Linked DNA regions of Macaca mulatta. The protein of the gene in region 2 purifies or fractionates together with the protein of the main gene of each other region. This does not show direct contact. Links are inferred from orthologs where the notes say so. Each region holds a gene or a part of one and is shown on either strand. Other genes may lie near its edges. The genes, in order: PRPF19, BCAS2 and CDC5L.

Region 1 (5,787 bases), on a different chromosome or scaffold from region 2:
CGTCACCTCTCTAAAAGTGGATAACAACACTGCTGCTGCTGCTATTTATTGATTGCCCTCTTTGTGTCAGGCACTGTGCCAGACAGTCCTGCAGGATGTATTCAATCATTCAGTTCATAATTCTAGAGCACCTACTACGTACCAGGCGCTCTCAGTGCTGGGGATACAACAAAGAATAAAACAAAACCCTGATGTCACAAAACCCTGATGATGATTATCTAAATAATTCTCCATCCTTCCCACCCCCAAGTCCTAACTCAGCGATGCATTCTCTTCAAGTGGGGAAGATGCTAATTCTCTTGCAGGAACTCACCCACTCATCCTGCAAGGCTTTCAGAATGGCCGGGATGCTGGTGGCTGAGGGAGGCTTGGGCCGGATTGGGTGAGCAACTGCCGAAAGGGAAAGTAGGTATGAAGAGCATAACCCAGGGACCTCCCCTGCCATCACATCTTTTCCTTTTAGCCATAAACAGCCCACCATCTCCTCCTCCAGTGCATTGGCACCACCTCCCATCCTCTCAGGCTCTGAGCTAAGATGGCCCTAGACTAAGGCAGCCAATAGGCACCTTTGATGTCGATGAGCTGCTCCTCGGAGAGAGGCTGGTTGTTGATGGGGTCGGTACCATTCTCTGCAATGTACTTCTCAATGAGCCGCCGCTCATAAACATGATTAGAGACAGGGGACACACATGGGTGCTCCGGCACTTCATTAGAGACTGTAGAGAAAAGGCCGGCAGTGAGCTTGGAGTGAAGGCAATCTTGAGCCTAGAGGATTCCTCATCTGCTATTAGCCCCAACAAGACTAGGCATCCTCACAATCAACTAGCAAAAAGCAAGACATCTGACCCTAAGCCAGTTCTGTACTGGCCCCAGAATGCTTTCCAGCTGTGGAACTAGCTTTTCCTTTAGTCTCCTGACAATCAGATAGTCAACAAATAATTATTAACAACTACTATGTGCCAAGCACCTAGAGAACAGCAGTCCATTATCGCCACCTAATATCTGAACAATGATTGTGTACTCTATGAATACAGTTTACTCCATGACATGGAGACACACATGAAGCCATTCAAATCCCTTCCATCCATCTTAGTCTATAGCTCCAGAGGGATTATCAAAGAAATCATAAAGTCTGAGAATATAGGAATAACAAACTCAGTTTCTCCTATTCTCTCACAAAACAAAATACTTCTGTGACCTCAGATGTGACCATCCGGGTGTCCTCCAATTCAATTCTGACACCAGGTACCTGGAGATAGTGTCAGATCACACGGGTTGAGGTCTCAGTCCCACCAGACTCCCCCACCCCTTCAGATGCCAATCGCAAGCTCCAGGTTGTTTGACCTGTTCTTCTGATCTACCAGCTGTAAATCAGGGTTCCCATGACCCCCTTTTTGGGTTCAATTAATTTTCAACAGTGACTCACAGAATTGTGGGAAACACTTATGTTGACCAGTTTATTATAAAGGATATTACAAAGGGTATAGATGAAGAGGTGCATAGGATGAGGTATGGGAGAAGGAGTACAGAGCTTCCCATGCCCTCCCTGGGCACCCCACCCTCCAGGAACGCCCACATGTTCTGCTATACAGAAGCTCTTTGAATCCTGCCCTTTTGTATTTTTATGAAAACTTCATTACAAAGGCATGATTCAATAAATCACTGGTCACTAGTGACAACTTCAGCCCCTCTCGTTCCCCAGGTAAGTGGGGGGTAGGACTGAAAATCCCAACTTTCTAATACCCTTTAGTCTTTCTAGGTGACCAGTCCCCATCCTGAAGCTATTGACGTCTGCCAGCTACCAGTCAACTGATTAGGATACAGGCAGACACTTATCACCTGGAAGATTCCAAGGAGCAAAGTGGCAATCATTACAATAAAAATATTTACATGGCACATGTCTATGTGCCAAGCACAATTCTAGGCATACAGTACAGTAATTCATGTTCACAACAACCCGCAATAGAGGTATCATTTACACTCTTGCCTGCATAGACTGTGCGCCCCTTGAGGATAAGGATTACAGCTGGTCTCTCACTTCCAGTACAATGCAGATGCCCCCGGGGCACTCGGTAAACATCTAACGAATGAGTGAACCCTGCCAGGAAAGATAGTGCTGGGGAACGTAAAAGAGAGCTTTCCCAAGACTGGAAGGAAACAATGAATATGAAGGTACTTTGCGAGCTGTAATTTCTTCAATGTGAGGGATTCCTTTTCCATCATTTCCCTTCCTTCTTCCCCCTCTCTGGATCAACGTACAGGTTCTGAGAAGAGACGGAGGTGAATAGCAAAAGGGAGGGGAAACGAGTAATCTGATGAAACAACGAAAAGGGAAAGGAAAACGTATGTACGTCATGATAAAATATCAAAGGGAAAGATAGTGGAAGGTATGGAAAAAGCAAGGATTCAGGCTCCAAACTCCGTGTCACCTAACTACGTCACCCAGCTCTGCCATTGACTAGCTACGCATTCTTAGATAAGCCCCGCTCTTCCTGAGCCTTGCCTCCTCATTTGCAACACCAGGATCTTTTCTCCTTTAGGGAATTCTTGTGAGGATAAAATGAGATCCTAGACTTGGAAGCGCGTTGTAAACCAATAAGGGCTTTATAAATGTGCGCTGTTTTTAATTAGTCATACACTGTAAGGCTGGGAGCCATATACCTAGCTGCCAGCCTTGCCTACCTCTAACTCATCATGTGACCTTTACAAATTGCAAAAGCTGCGACTATCCGAGCAAGGCCTCACAAAATATCCAGTGCAATGCTCTCAATTTTGCAGATGGGGAAACCGAGGCACAGAGCCTTAAGCCAATTCACAAAGCCAACAGGAGGCGGACCCTGGACAAGACCTCGGGTTTCCTGACTCTTACATCAAGGCTGTTTCCCCTGCACCAGCTCCCTCTGTCCAGGCCTGTTTCCACTCGGTAGAATGAGGCGACCTGCCTCAGTAATGCCTGCGACAATAAACCTCCGGCACTATGTAAACTGCGGAGCACTGCGCAAATGCACCCCGCTCCGAGGGGAGGGCTCCGGGGCTGACAGGCCGCCGCTCTGCCTCTGGAGCGCCCCATTCCCGCCTCCACCCCGGCCCCGGCCCCGGCGCCGCAGTGGCCCGCACACGCTCCCGCGCCGCTCTCCGGCCTCCTGCGACCCGCGCTCGGCCGCAGGCAACACTCACTGGAGCAGATTAGGGACATGGCGCCGTTGCCGCGCTCCCAGGCGCCACACGCCGGACTCCGGGACTGGCTTCTGAGCCTCCGCGAGCCACTTCCGGTCCCCCGCTGCTGCCGGGACTGCTCAGCTGCGAGCTGGGAGCCGCCAGTCGAGCGATGCTCGCGTAGCGCTTCACGTGGGAATGGGGACAGCCGCGCGCCACTGCCTCCAGCACCTAACGGAAATAGACCTTTCCCAGAATGCAGCCGGGCAGGAAAGGGCCCGCCACGAACACTCGGTTATTTCCGGATTGACTCGGCTCGTTCCGTAAAGCGCCCGGGGATTGGCGGGGGCGTCGGAAGAGAGGAGACTCGAAACTACATTTCCCATGATGCAGTGAGAACTTAAAACCAAAGCAATTGGACAGCACTTGTTTTGACAACTGTGCGGCACTGTGTCACGGGACCCTGGTCTTTGAAACCTTGGTGTGCGCGAGAATTTCCCAATTTCCCATTGTTAAAATGCAGATTCCTCGGATCTGCGTAGACAGACTGCGCCCCACGCTATTCTAAGTCAGGTGTTTCTCGGGCCACCCTTTAAGAGACACTGCTGGATGGCCTGGTGTTAAAAATACAGAGGCAGATGGGTACAGGAACTAAGAAAACGGCTAAGACAGCGTTTTGGTCCTGACTACTACCGTTTCGCTCTGTGATTTGGGGCAATTCACATTGGCTTCCCTGCCCTTTCTTCTTTGTCAAAAGACAAAATCACAACAAATTTAGTTTAAAGTTTTTTGTTTGTTTTTGTTTTTTGGTTTTGTTTTGTTTTTGTTTTTGTTTTTAAGAGACGGACTCTGGCAATGTTGCCCAGGCTGGAACGCAGTGGCTATTCACAGGTGCAATCGTAGCAATCATGGCTATCACAGGTGCATCCTGGAACTCCTGGGCTCAAGTGATCCTTCTGCCTCAGCCTCCAGAGTAGCTCTGGGACTTAGGGTGCAATTCTATAAAATTGGGCAGCGCCTTACACTATAAAATCTAATGGTTGTTCCAATGAGCTGAACAGGGGAGCTTGGTTTTTTAGACAGAAAAGGACTGAGGAAAACAGAAACAGAACAAAAATGGGATTGGTCATTTGGTAATCTCAAAATTACTTTTCTTGTAAAGGTTAAAGTGGAGGGTACTTCTTTATCATGCCATGTAAAACTTGCCTGTTTGGGAATTTAGCTCTCCCCGCCAACACACATGCACACACACACTCTCTCTCAGAAGGTCATAAAGATCTTAGTTTCAGCTCATTGGGGTGGAACTTCGGCAGGACTCTTTTTAGCTTGGTCTGTTAGGCCTAGCGCAAGAGCTCAGTCCAAACCAGTGGCCTCTTATCAATTTATTTTGTATTTTCTGTTTCTCTTCCAGCTCAGATAGTGTATGATTCTTTGTGGATATCTGTAAGATAAGATACTCTCAGGAATCATGCAAAAGACATGTGGTGTGGACTATAAGGTATCAAGACAAACGGGCAGGATGAACAGGATGTGTGAGTGAGAGGGACTTTGACAGGTGGGCAGTATTCAGAGGAGAAGGAGAAGGAAAGGCATTCCAGAAGGAGAAACAATGTAAGCAAAAGCTTGGAGAGAAAAATAAAAGTTACAGGTACAAAAGGTAGTATGGCATAGTGGCCAAGAGCATGGACTCTGAAGTCAGACTGTGTGCTCAAATCCTAGCACCACCCAGGTGATTAACTGTATGAACTTCTCTATGCCTTAGTTTCCTCATCTGTAAAACAGAGGGAGTGATGACAGGGGTAGAACTAACTCGCTGAACTCTTATGAGGAGTTAATATGCAAAAGGGCATTTCATCTCTCTCTTGCACCAACAAAGTAGCTTGCCACTTGTTCCTTGCTTCCAGCCTGGCCTCCTCCTCCTAATCTACTTTCCACAGAGCAGCCAGTGATCCGCTTTGAATGAAATATCGATTCATGTTATTCCCCAGGCATTTCATTCATCCAACAAATATTGATTGGGTACTTCCTATGTGCCAAGCCCTATTCTAAAAACTGGAGATAGAAAAGGTCAACAAGAAAGACACAGTTTCTGCTCTTTTGGAGCTTACACTGTACTGGGAGTGGTGGGAGCACAGAGACAATCAACACTTAAGAAGAAAATTCCAGAGTAGTAGTGCTATGAATGCAACAAATCAGAGCAAAGTAGACAGAGGTGCTGGGGATTGGAGGAATGGCTGCTTTAGACAGGGCACTTAGAGAGTGCATCTTTGAGGAGCTGATTTTTTTTTCGCTGAGAACTGAATGAGGGTATGGAGCAAAAAAGTTTCTCCTCTGCCCTCTAAAGATTTGCTGAAATTAACTGACAAACGACAGAATAACAGGAGAAACGACATACAAGTGTATTAGTGTGCAAGTGTGCACAGCAGTCATACAAAATATGAGGCTCAAAGAAGGAACAGGTGGCTGATGCTTACTTAAATGGCACCCAGGAAAGAGGGAGATGGGGGAAATGTAGGCAATTTTGAGGGCTAGCAAATAATTTTTAGGGGAAATGAATGAGCCCCAAGAACAGACAATGCCTTGGGACAAAATTCTTATGAGCTCTGGAGGAGGTGGCAACAAATTGTGGGA
Region 2 (4,303 bases):
CCTGAAAACCTTTAATAATTCCCTATTACCTGCAAGGTAAGGGCCAAGCTTTTTTTCTTTTTCTTTGGAGGTGAAGGAGGGGGTCGGGACAGAATCTTGCTCTGTCGCGCAAGCTAGAATGCAGTGCCACAATCTCAGCTCACTGCAACCCTCCCGGGTTCAAGCAGCTCTTCTGCCTCAGCCTCCAGAGTAGGTGGGATTATAGATACACGCCACCACGCCTGGCTGATTTTTGTATTTTTTGTAGAGACGGGGTTTCACCATGTTGACCAGGCTGGTCTCAAGCTCCTGGCCTCAAGTGATCCTCCAGCATCACCCTCTCAAAGTGCTGGGATTGTAGGTGTGAGCACCTGACTGGGCCAGGCTTTTTAACATGGTATTCAAGGCCTTTTCCTTACTCCCTCAACTGTAAACTTTTAACTCAACCCAAACTAGTCCTTTCTCTGGTGATTATCATAAATCCTGCCTCTGGGCGTTTACTTGCCCCTGACTTTACCTGTTCTACCCAAATTCAGCTTGTTTAGGGCCCAGCTCTAGTTCGCTTACTTGTCTTCTTCCCTGATTGAAATTCTGCTTCTAGTATTGTCTCCCTCTTCTGAGTAACTCTACACAGAATTACTGTGCACATCACTTGTTTTCCATTTAATCACAAAGTGCTCTATAGTGCTTAACATTCCCCTGAGCATATTTTGTCTCCTCCAAATTCAATGGACACTTCTCCAGAGGAGGTGTACTATATTTTATCAAAGTATATTTAAGAGGAAGGGTGGGAGAAGGGAGAAGACAAACTAAACTTTCAGGGAGAGCCAATTCAAAGGAAAGCTCCCTTGTTGGTGGGCAGAGTCTGGAATAGAGCACTAAAATCAATAGTCCTCAGCATGGAGTGATCGTCGAAGTCAAGGAAAGAGGGTTGACCTGAGGGAAAGCCTAGAGAGGCACAGCTGTTTAAAGACTGAGTCTTGAGAGAATTCCAACTAATGCAGGGAAACCAGTCAGTAGAGATAGGAGAATAACTCAGGTGAACAGCAGAAAATTTGAGTCACAAAAGCCAGGAAACAATATTAGATTTAGAGCAAGAACACATTAGGGCCAGATGTGGTTAAAATGGACCCTATAGGTGATTGATCCACTGCCTTAAGAGGAAATTGATATGATGTGGAATTATATCTCAATAAAGCTGTTACTTAAACTTAAAAAAGATTCAAATCTGTTTTATTACTTCTCTGAAATAATTATATGGTACCCTGTATTATTGAACTTTTCTCCTGTGCTAGTTACAGCTGACCTGGACTGGTATCTGTTTTTTATTTTGCTGCGAATAGGTTACATGCAAATATGGACTGATATCTCAAATCTACAACAGTTTTCTTTTTCTCACCTCTCTCTAGTTAGCAGTGGACAGGAGGAGAGAATGACAGGATAAATGTATATGAAGAAATATAGAGATAAAAGGGGGTTGAGAAATAATAAGTGGATATAATCAGATATATTCCATCTTCTCTGTGACAAGAAGTCATGACAGTTAAAGAAGTGACAAAAGACTGTGTGTGATGTCTCACGCATGTAATTCCAACACTTTGAAGGCCAAGGTGGGGAGACTGCTTGAGCCCAGGAGTTCAAGACCAGCCCAGACAACACGGTGAAACCCTGTCTCTACAAAAAAATAACAAAAATTAGCCGGGCATGGTGGCTTATGCCTGTAATCCGAACTACTTTGAAGGCCTGAAGTGGGAGGATCGATTGAGCCCAGGAGGTTGAGGCTGCCATGATTATGCAGCTACACTCCAGCTTGGGCAACAGTAGAGCAAGACTCTGTCCAAAAAAAAAAAAGCCAGGTGCAGTGGCTCACGCCTGTAATCCCAGCACTTTGGGAGACCGAGGTGGATGGATTGCTTGTGGTCAGGAGTTCAAGACCAGCCTGGCCAACGTAGTGAAACCCCATCTCTGCTAAAAAAAAAAAAAAAATACAAAAATTAGCAAGGCATGGCAGTGCACGCCTGTAATCCCAGCTACTTGGGACGCTGAGGCAGGAGAATTGCTTGAACCAGGAGGCAGAGGCTGCAGTGAGCTGAGATCACACTACTTCACTCCAGCCTGGGCAACAGAATGAGACTGTCTCATAAGAAAAGCAACCTAAGTACTCAAAGTATCAGGCAGGGCATGGTAATTCCAGCAGTTTGGGAAGCCAAGGTGGGAGGATTGCGGCTCCTCGGGAGGCTGAGGCAGGAGGATTACTTGATCTTGGGAGGTGAAGGCTGCAGTGAGCCATGATCACACCACTGCATTCCAGCATGGGTGATAGTCCTTGATTATGGAGTGTCCAACATAGTTCTTGGCACAGAGCTCCAGAAATACGATTTTTAGCAAAAAAACTTGAAAAAGTTCACTTTTAATTGGTACTATTTTAATGTATTTAAATCTGATTTTCCTCTTTTCCTTCAGAAATCTAGTTCATATGATTGAACACGCACAGAAAGAACTTCAGAAATTAAGGTAAATTGTTTTTTCCTATTACAGAATGAACTTTAAGTGAACCTTTAATGAATAGAAAATAGGAGGAAAAAGAAAGCAATGAGACTGCAGCCAGGTGAAAGTAAACAATTGATCCACTCTCTTTGTTCAACATCTGGCACTGGGTTTGCCCTACCTAAGTAGACGAGTAATAGGCCTGAGGTCTGAAAACATCTCTGCCACTTGTAGCTTGCAAGTCTGCAAACATGGAAAGATGCTTTTAGAGGGGGAGAAAGTTGGAGAATAACACATATAATCTGATTTTTAAGACCGATTTCGGCCGGGCGCGGTGGCTCAAGCCTGTAATCCCAGCACTTTGGGAGGCCGAGACGGGTGGAACACGAGGTCAGGAGATCGAGACCATCCTGGCTAACACAATGAAACCCCGTCTCCACTAAAAATACAAAAAAAATTAGCCAGGCATGGTGGCGGCGCCTGTAGTCCCAGCTACTCGGGAGGCTGAGGCAGGAGAATGGCGGGAACCCGGGAGGCGGAGCTTGCAGTGAGCCGAGATCGCGCCACTGCACTCCAGCCTGGGTGACAGAGCCAGACTCCGTCTCAAAAAAAAAAAAAAAGACCGATTTCTACACACACATATAGGAAAGCCTGGAAGGACACCCAGCAAAAACTCAACAGGAGTTATCAGGAAAAAGGAGACATGCATGGGAAGAGGGACTTGAGACTTGTAATCTGTGTGTGCTCGTGTGTGTGTGTGTGTGTGTGATTTCTCACAATGAGCATGTTTTATGAAACTTGTAATCAAAAAATAATTAGAAGAACGGTAATTTCTACAGTTAGCCTATAACTGTACATGATATTGTTCTCATGGGATTAAGATATTCTCTTGTGTTACAGAGTTTTCTGTTGATTTTTGGTCTTACATTAAAATGTCATTAGGTTGTATAATTTTTTACAGAAAACATATTCAAGATTTAAACTGGCAGAGAAAGAACATGCAGCTCACAGCTGGATCTAAATTGAGAGAAATGGAGTCAAAGTGAGTATCTATAATTCCATCATCTTTTAAATTGTTTAGCCCAGTCTAAGGTCGATTCAATAATATGATTCAAATAGCATTCATGTGGGATGCCATAGGTGTCAAAGAAAATGCTGTTTTCTGAATTCACCCTTCACTGTCTCTGCCTTTCTGTAAGGTGTTAAAGAGAACTATAAACGAGAATTGAACCATTGGTGAAGGATCCTTTGCTAAATTGAACCACTGCTAAAGGATTCTGGTCTTAGAATACCCTGTTTTTAGTCTAGTATTTTTGGCCTTGAATAGAATTCTACCTTTATTCTCCTTTTAAATGGAAAAAAAAAATAGCCAGCTACAGTGGCACATGCCTGTAGTCCCAGCTACTGTGGAGGCTGAGGCAGGAGGATTGCTTAGCCTGGGAGGTTGAAGCTGCAGTGAGCCATAATCGCACCAATGCACTCCAGCCTGGGCAACAGAGTGAGACCTCGTCTTAAAAAAAAAAAGGAAAAAAATTAATTTTATAAAATATTGTAGGCAGGGAGATTTCATACTTTTCTTGATAATTTGTTTGTACCTCAGGTTTATACATTTTAAAAAATGTTCTTTTACATACACACGTATGCCTTTATACAGTATCTTGAATATTTGTGTCATTTCTCTCTTCTTTTTTGCTTTCCCATTCCCTTTGTCCCTTCATTACTCAAGTTATTCTCCTTGTTCTACCATCTCCATGTACGTGTTATCAGTCTCTTTGGTACCCTTTCATGTTTTTTCCTCAATTTAATAAACTGTTGCCTCTTTCCTTTTTGTTGATTA
Region 3 (5,299 bases), on a different chromosome or scaffold from region 2:
ATATGTATTTTTAAGAATGTCCATCAAAATATTGTGAGTATATTAATTATGTGAGGATACATTATTAATGACATAAATTATTTACTTCAGAAGTTTTTTCAATATTAAAAAGAACTAGGTAGAGATCTTGAGACATTTAATGGCTGTTCTTCATTCTTCGAGCCTACTGACACATTCAGCCGAACTCACGCTTCTTTCAGTACAGTTACCCACCTGCTTTCGAGCATCCACATCGGCAGCATCTTCAATGTAAGTATCATCTACTTCACGTTCTTCCAGCTCCTTCTCGGCATTTTCTGGTAGAACAATTTCAAAATCATTCTTAGGGGCAGGAAGGCCCAACAACCCTAAACGGAGATGTTCTCGAGATTCTCTTTCCTGTAGAAAAGAAGTGGTCCTTCTCAATTCATGCATATTAAATATTCAACCAGAATTTTATGAGTCTTAAAAATTGATAGCACAACAGTCTAGTCAAAATAACTGTACAATTTAAAATAACTAAGAGAATAATTGGATGGTTTCTAACACAAAGGTTAAATGCTTGAGGGGATGCATACCCCATTTTCCATGGTGTGATTATTACACATGCATGCCTGTATCAAGATATCTCATATACCCCATAAACATATACACCTACTACGTATCCACAAAAATTAAAAATTATAGACAGAGAAAAAAAAGTCTCAAAAAAAATCAGCCTAATATTAATTCTAGAAAAATAATCCTGACTTCAGAGCTAAGACAAGGCTTTTGTTTATTTTCTATCCCCTCTTCTTCCCAACATTAAGACCAATCAAACACTTTCACTTGTGATCACTGAAGATACTCTGGGATATTCCAACAGGAGGTTTGAGGCCAGGGCAGAAAAAAAGACCACTATAATTTTCATTTGAGGGAACACATTTCTGACACCGAAAGTTAACAGCAAATGAAAAGAACAGGTTCAAAAGTTAGTCTGTCCTTGGACTAATAAAACCCACTCTGAAAGATACTTGAATTTGTATGTATATGTTTATTGTTAATAAAAATACTAAATCCCATGCAGACGAAAGAAAGTAGAGTCCTGGTTCCCAAAAAACCCTCCTGGTACCCAGAGGTTTTCCAGTCCATCCTCAGTACTGACATGTACCAGGTGTGAGGAACAGATGAGTTGCTATGTCTAAAACATCCTCCGTGCTTACTCATATTGTAGTCTCCATCTGGGACAGCCCCCACCCTCCTTCGGAACATACCTCTTCCAATAAGGCTTTCCTGTTACCCAACAAATGTGATTATTCCCTTCTTTAACTACCCTAAGCACATTGGCTTTACTCAAAGGGCTTATTCTGTTCTGATATTACAATTATTTTTGGACTTAGTTTAGTACTGCCAATCTCCCCAGAATATAAATTTCCTCAGGACAAAGGACATCTATATTCAACTTTAGATCCCCTCAAATGTCCAAATGCACACTCCGCACTCATGAGGTTCTTAATCTGTTTAATTCTTATGTATCCATTCAGAGTTGGCTTTAGTTGATATCAATTTGAACTTTAAGAAACATACATAAATCAACCAAATATATATATGAAGTTAGAATTAATTTTAAACTGAAGACAAGCCAGTATAATTAGAAGTTTTTTTCTTTTTAATTTCACAATGATTTATGTGGCATTAGGTAATAAGGCCCAATAGCAAAGTAATAAATGCAATAACACGGGCAGAAGCAAAACTTAACTTTTACAATTAGCTTTCTACCTCACCTTGCTGAAGAAAACTTCAGTGAAATCAACAACAAGCATCAATATTCACAAACCTAGTAAGCATAAAGAAAGATGGGTTTTGAGCCCAAAATATTCCCTTTCATCAAGTCTTACAGATCATTCTCTTTTTCTGGCATCCACAGGTGTATAGATTCTTAAGGTATACGTGATATGCACTAACAGGAGAAATTTTAATTTGGCACCCATGAGATATTAAAAAAAAATTTAAGAGTATTAAAAGGGAATTGACATTTACCATCTGCTTCACATAAGAGGGATCACTATAGTCTGCCATTCCATCCTCAGGATTAATGTTTAACTTGTCTCGAAGAGGAGTTCTACCCGGGGTAGAGTTAATAACCGGTTTGGGAGTTGTTCCACTCCGGGGAGTCAGCCCTTCAGCTCCATTAGAAGGAGTCCTAGAAAGACAGGAATCCCAATTAACAGAAGTGCCACTTATATTTAGATTGTGCTTTCAAATGTTTTTCACATAAATTATTTCACAGGAAATATAGAAAAAAAAGGAATAAAGATTTCAGAAATTCTGTCTAGCTGGTTTTGTTAGGATCTCTAGGTTAAAATCAATGTTTGGTCTAGCTAGCATGGTATTTTTATTTTATTGACTTAAAATAATCACTATATTTGATATTTTCTTGCCTTCCTAAACTGCGCCCACTAAACATTATTTCCACTTTTTCTTGGCACATTAGGGCGGCTAGGAACATGCAGCGGGCAGGGAGGTGGGCCACCACACTCAATGACCCCAGATGACTCTTCGAGTTTGGTGTATATTTGTCTCCTACCCTCCCTATCAAGCTGTTGGTTCTCACATCATTGTCACTGTCATTATTACCAAAGTACACACTTTAAATAGTTCCTCCTTTTACATTTTGTTTAGAAACCAAACACCACACTTTTGGAATCACATGTAAACATGAGTAAGTTCCTGAGGGAGGCCTAAGAGATTCTCCTAGGAATAAGATCCACAGAATCTGCAGCAACCTATACTTTAAATATTCAAAGCCTTTTTTTCCCCTGGTTGCCTATTTCCTGTATATTGGTGTGTTGCAGAATGGTGACGCTGCCAGACAGCTATTCCTGGTAAGTAAGGTGTTATCACATAAGACATGGTTCCCGCCCCCAAGGATTTTACAATCGAGGTGAGAGACAAGACATACAGTTGTCCCTAAGTATTCACAGGGGATCGGCGGATTAGTTCCAGGACCAAAATCTGCAGACACTCAAGTCCCTGATACAAAACGGCATCGTATTTGCATATAACGTATGCACACCTTCCCATGTACTTTTAAATCATCTCTAGGTTACTTATAATACCCAATACAATGTAAACGCTATATAAATTGTTGTTATATTGTATTTTTATTTGTGTTATTTTTTATTGTTGTACTGAGTTTTTTAGAATATTTTTTATCCACAGTTGGTTGAATCCACAAATGTGGAACCCTCAGATACAGAGGGCCAACTAAACATAGGAAGTGAGGTATTAGGCTCTCTTATAAGACACTCAAGAAGTGTTAAATGTCTACGACTGGCTGTCAATGCTTCTTGGTTCTGCTGTCATGACACCTGTAATAGCCTGAAGTGCTTTCTCTACTAAATAACCAGTAGGAGGACATATCTTAACACTTAAAATTCAAAGTAAACCCCAAATATATCCAACCACTGTAAGTTCCAATTCCATTTTACTACTACATGCTTCCATAACATTTGTATTTTAAAGATTCTTCTTAAAAAACAGCAGCTTAAAACTAAGCAAAAGAGTTATAAAGAAATACTGAATTCCAGTTAATGCATGTGGAAGTGTTTAGGGATCAAGCAAACTGATATCTGCAAGTTACTTTGAAACTCATTAAAAAATATGATGGATTGGTGGATGGATATGCAATAAAGCAGATACAGTAAAATATTAACGATCTTAGAATCTAAGTGGTAGGTATATGGATGTTCACTTTACCATTTGTCAACTTCAACAGGTGAGAGACTGGGTCTCCAAAACAGAGTTTATTTGGGAACAGCAAGGGATTACAATGTGGGATATGTGTGCTATAACAGACCATAGGTATACCTGAGAGTGCTGGGGCAAGGAGAAGTTTTTAAAGATACAAGGGAGGAGTCTACGTAAACTGTTTTGAAACAAAGACCATTGGTTACAGGGACTTAATCACAGGAGGTGGCATTTGTTTTCATTGCCGGTATACATAACAGTATCCTTTATCTGAAATGGGGGACCAGAAGAGTTTTAGATACGGGATTTTTTTTCAGATTTGGGGATAATTCCATTATACTTACTGGTTGAGCATGGCAAATCAGGAAATTTGAAATCTGAAACGTTTCAATGCGCATTTCCTTTGAGTGTCATATTGGTGCTCAAAAAGTCTGGATTTAGGCCGGGCACAGTGGCTCAAACCTGTAATGCCAGCACTTTGGGAGGCTGAGGTGGGTGGATTACCTGAGGTCAGGAGTTCGAGACCAGCCTGACCATCATGGAGAAACCCCATCTCTACTAAAAATACAAAATTAGCCGGGCACAGCGGCGCAAGACTGTAATCCCAGCTACTCGGGAGCCCGAGGCAGGAGAATTGCTTGAACCTAGGAGGCAGAGGTTGTGATGAGCCAAGTTCACACCATTGCACTCTAGTCTGGGCAACAAGAGCGAAACTCCGTCTCAAAAAAAAAAAATTTGGATTTTGGAGCCTTCTGGATTTTCAGATTTGGGATGCTCAACCTGTACTGGCTGTTGGTAGGGCAACATCTTCACAGAAGCAACTTATCTGGAATTTGTGTGGTTTTCAGAAGATCCCTGGAATAATTTCTGTCATGGGCATATATGCATGAGGGTTCCTTTTTCATTAAAATGTAACATTAAGTGACTCCATTTCAATACTGATAACTTCCACACATTCTTTCAACCTTTCTAAATGCCTGAAATTTTCATAATAAAATGCTGGAGGGAAAGCAATACATAAAAGGATTACAATTTTAATAAAATTCACAAAGTAATCATTAAAAATGAATCAATCTACTCTAAAATCAAACACAAAGTATTCAAAAATAACGTGATAGGATCCGAAGTTTTGCAAAAGGACACTCCAATTAGACAGGTGTGGTGGCAGACGCCTGTAATCCCAGCTACTTGGGAGGCTGAGGCATGAGAATCGCTTGAACCCGGGAGGCAGATAGGTTCCGTAAGCTGAGATCGTGCTACTGCACTCCAGCCTGGGTGGCAGAGCGAGACTCCATCTTTAAAAAAAAAAAAGGGAGAGGCACTCCACAGTATTTAACCATTTCCCAGACACTATCATTTATTACTGTGAAGAAGAAATCAAAGAGGAAAACTCAACACAATAAGTATTAGCTCTCCATAAACATTACTAAAGCAAACATGCTAAGTCCTTGAATTCATGTTTTTCTAAAATAAAAAACATGTTCATTTACAATACCTGAATGGAGTAGAGAGAACTGTGTTTGGAGTCTGTACAACCTGCCGCTGTGGAGTTACACCTGAGAAGTCACTCTCATGCAACGGGGTATTAAGT

Evidence for each region.
Region 1: the proteins of BCAS2 (region 2) and PRPF19 purify together in Homo sapiens (co-immunoprecipitation; 10 studies listed by BioGRID and IntAct, counting the BioPlex papers as one, with this or other methods). This does not show direct contact. The link is inferred for Macaca mulatta from reciprocal best matches to the Homo sapiens genes BCAS2 and PRPF19.
Region 3: the proteins of BCAS2 (region 2) and CDC5L purify together in Homo sapiens (co-immunoprecipitation; 8 studies listed by BioGRID and IntAct, with this or other methods). This does not show direct contact. The link is inferred for Macaca mulatta from reciprocal best matches to the Homo sapiens genes BCAS2 and CDC5L.

The regions. Positions count from the first base shown.
Region 1 is NC_133419.1:13,164,957-13,170,743, reverse strand, and holds the start of PRPF19 (pre-mRNA-processing factor 19), read right to left. Parts: upstream 3,398-5,787; 5' UTR 3,197-3,397; coding exon 3,178-3,196; intron 2,265-3,177; exon of another isoform or gene 2,177-2,264; intron 717-2,176; coding exon 567-716; intron 391-566; coding exon 314-390; intron 1-313. UniProt on the Homo sapiens protein: Ubiquitin-protein ligase which is a core component of several complexes mainly involved pre-mRNA splicing and DNA repair. Required for pre-mRNA splicing as component of the spliceosome.
Region 2 is NC_133406.1:125,681,303-125,685,605, forward strand, and holds part of BCAS2 (pre-mRNA-splicing factor SPF27), read left to right. Parts: intron 1-2,442; coding exon 2,443-2,493; intron 2,494-3,427; coding exon 3,428-3,508; intron 3,509-4,303. UniProt on the Homo sapiens protein: Required for pre-mRNA splicing as component of the activated spliceosome. Component of the PRP19-CDC5L complex that forms an integral part of the spliceosome and is required for activating pre-mRNA splicing.
Region 3 is NC_133409.1:137,687,757-137,693,055, forward strand, and holds part of CDC5L (cell division cycle 5-like protein), read right to left. Parts: coding exon 5,204-5,299; intron 2,162-5,203; coding exon 1,999-2,161; intron 379-1,998; coding exon 214-378; intron 1-213.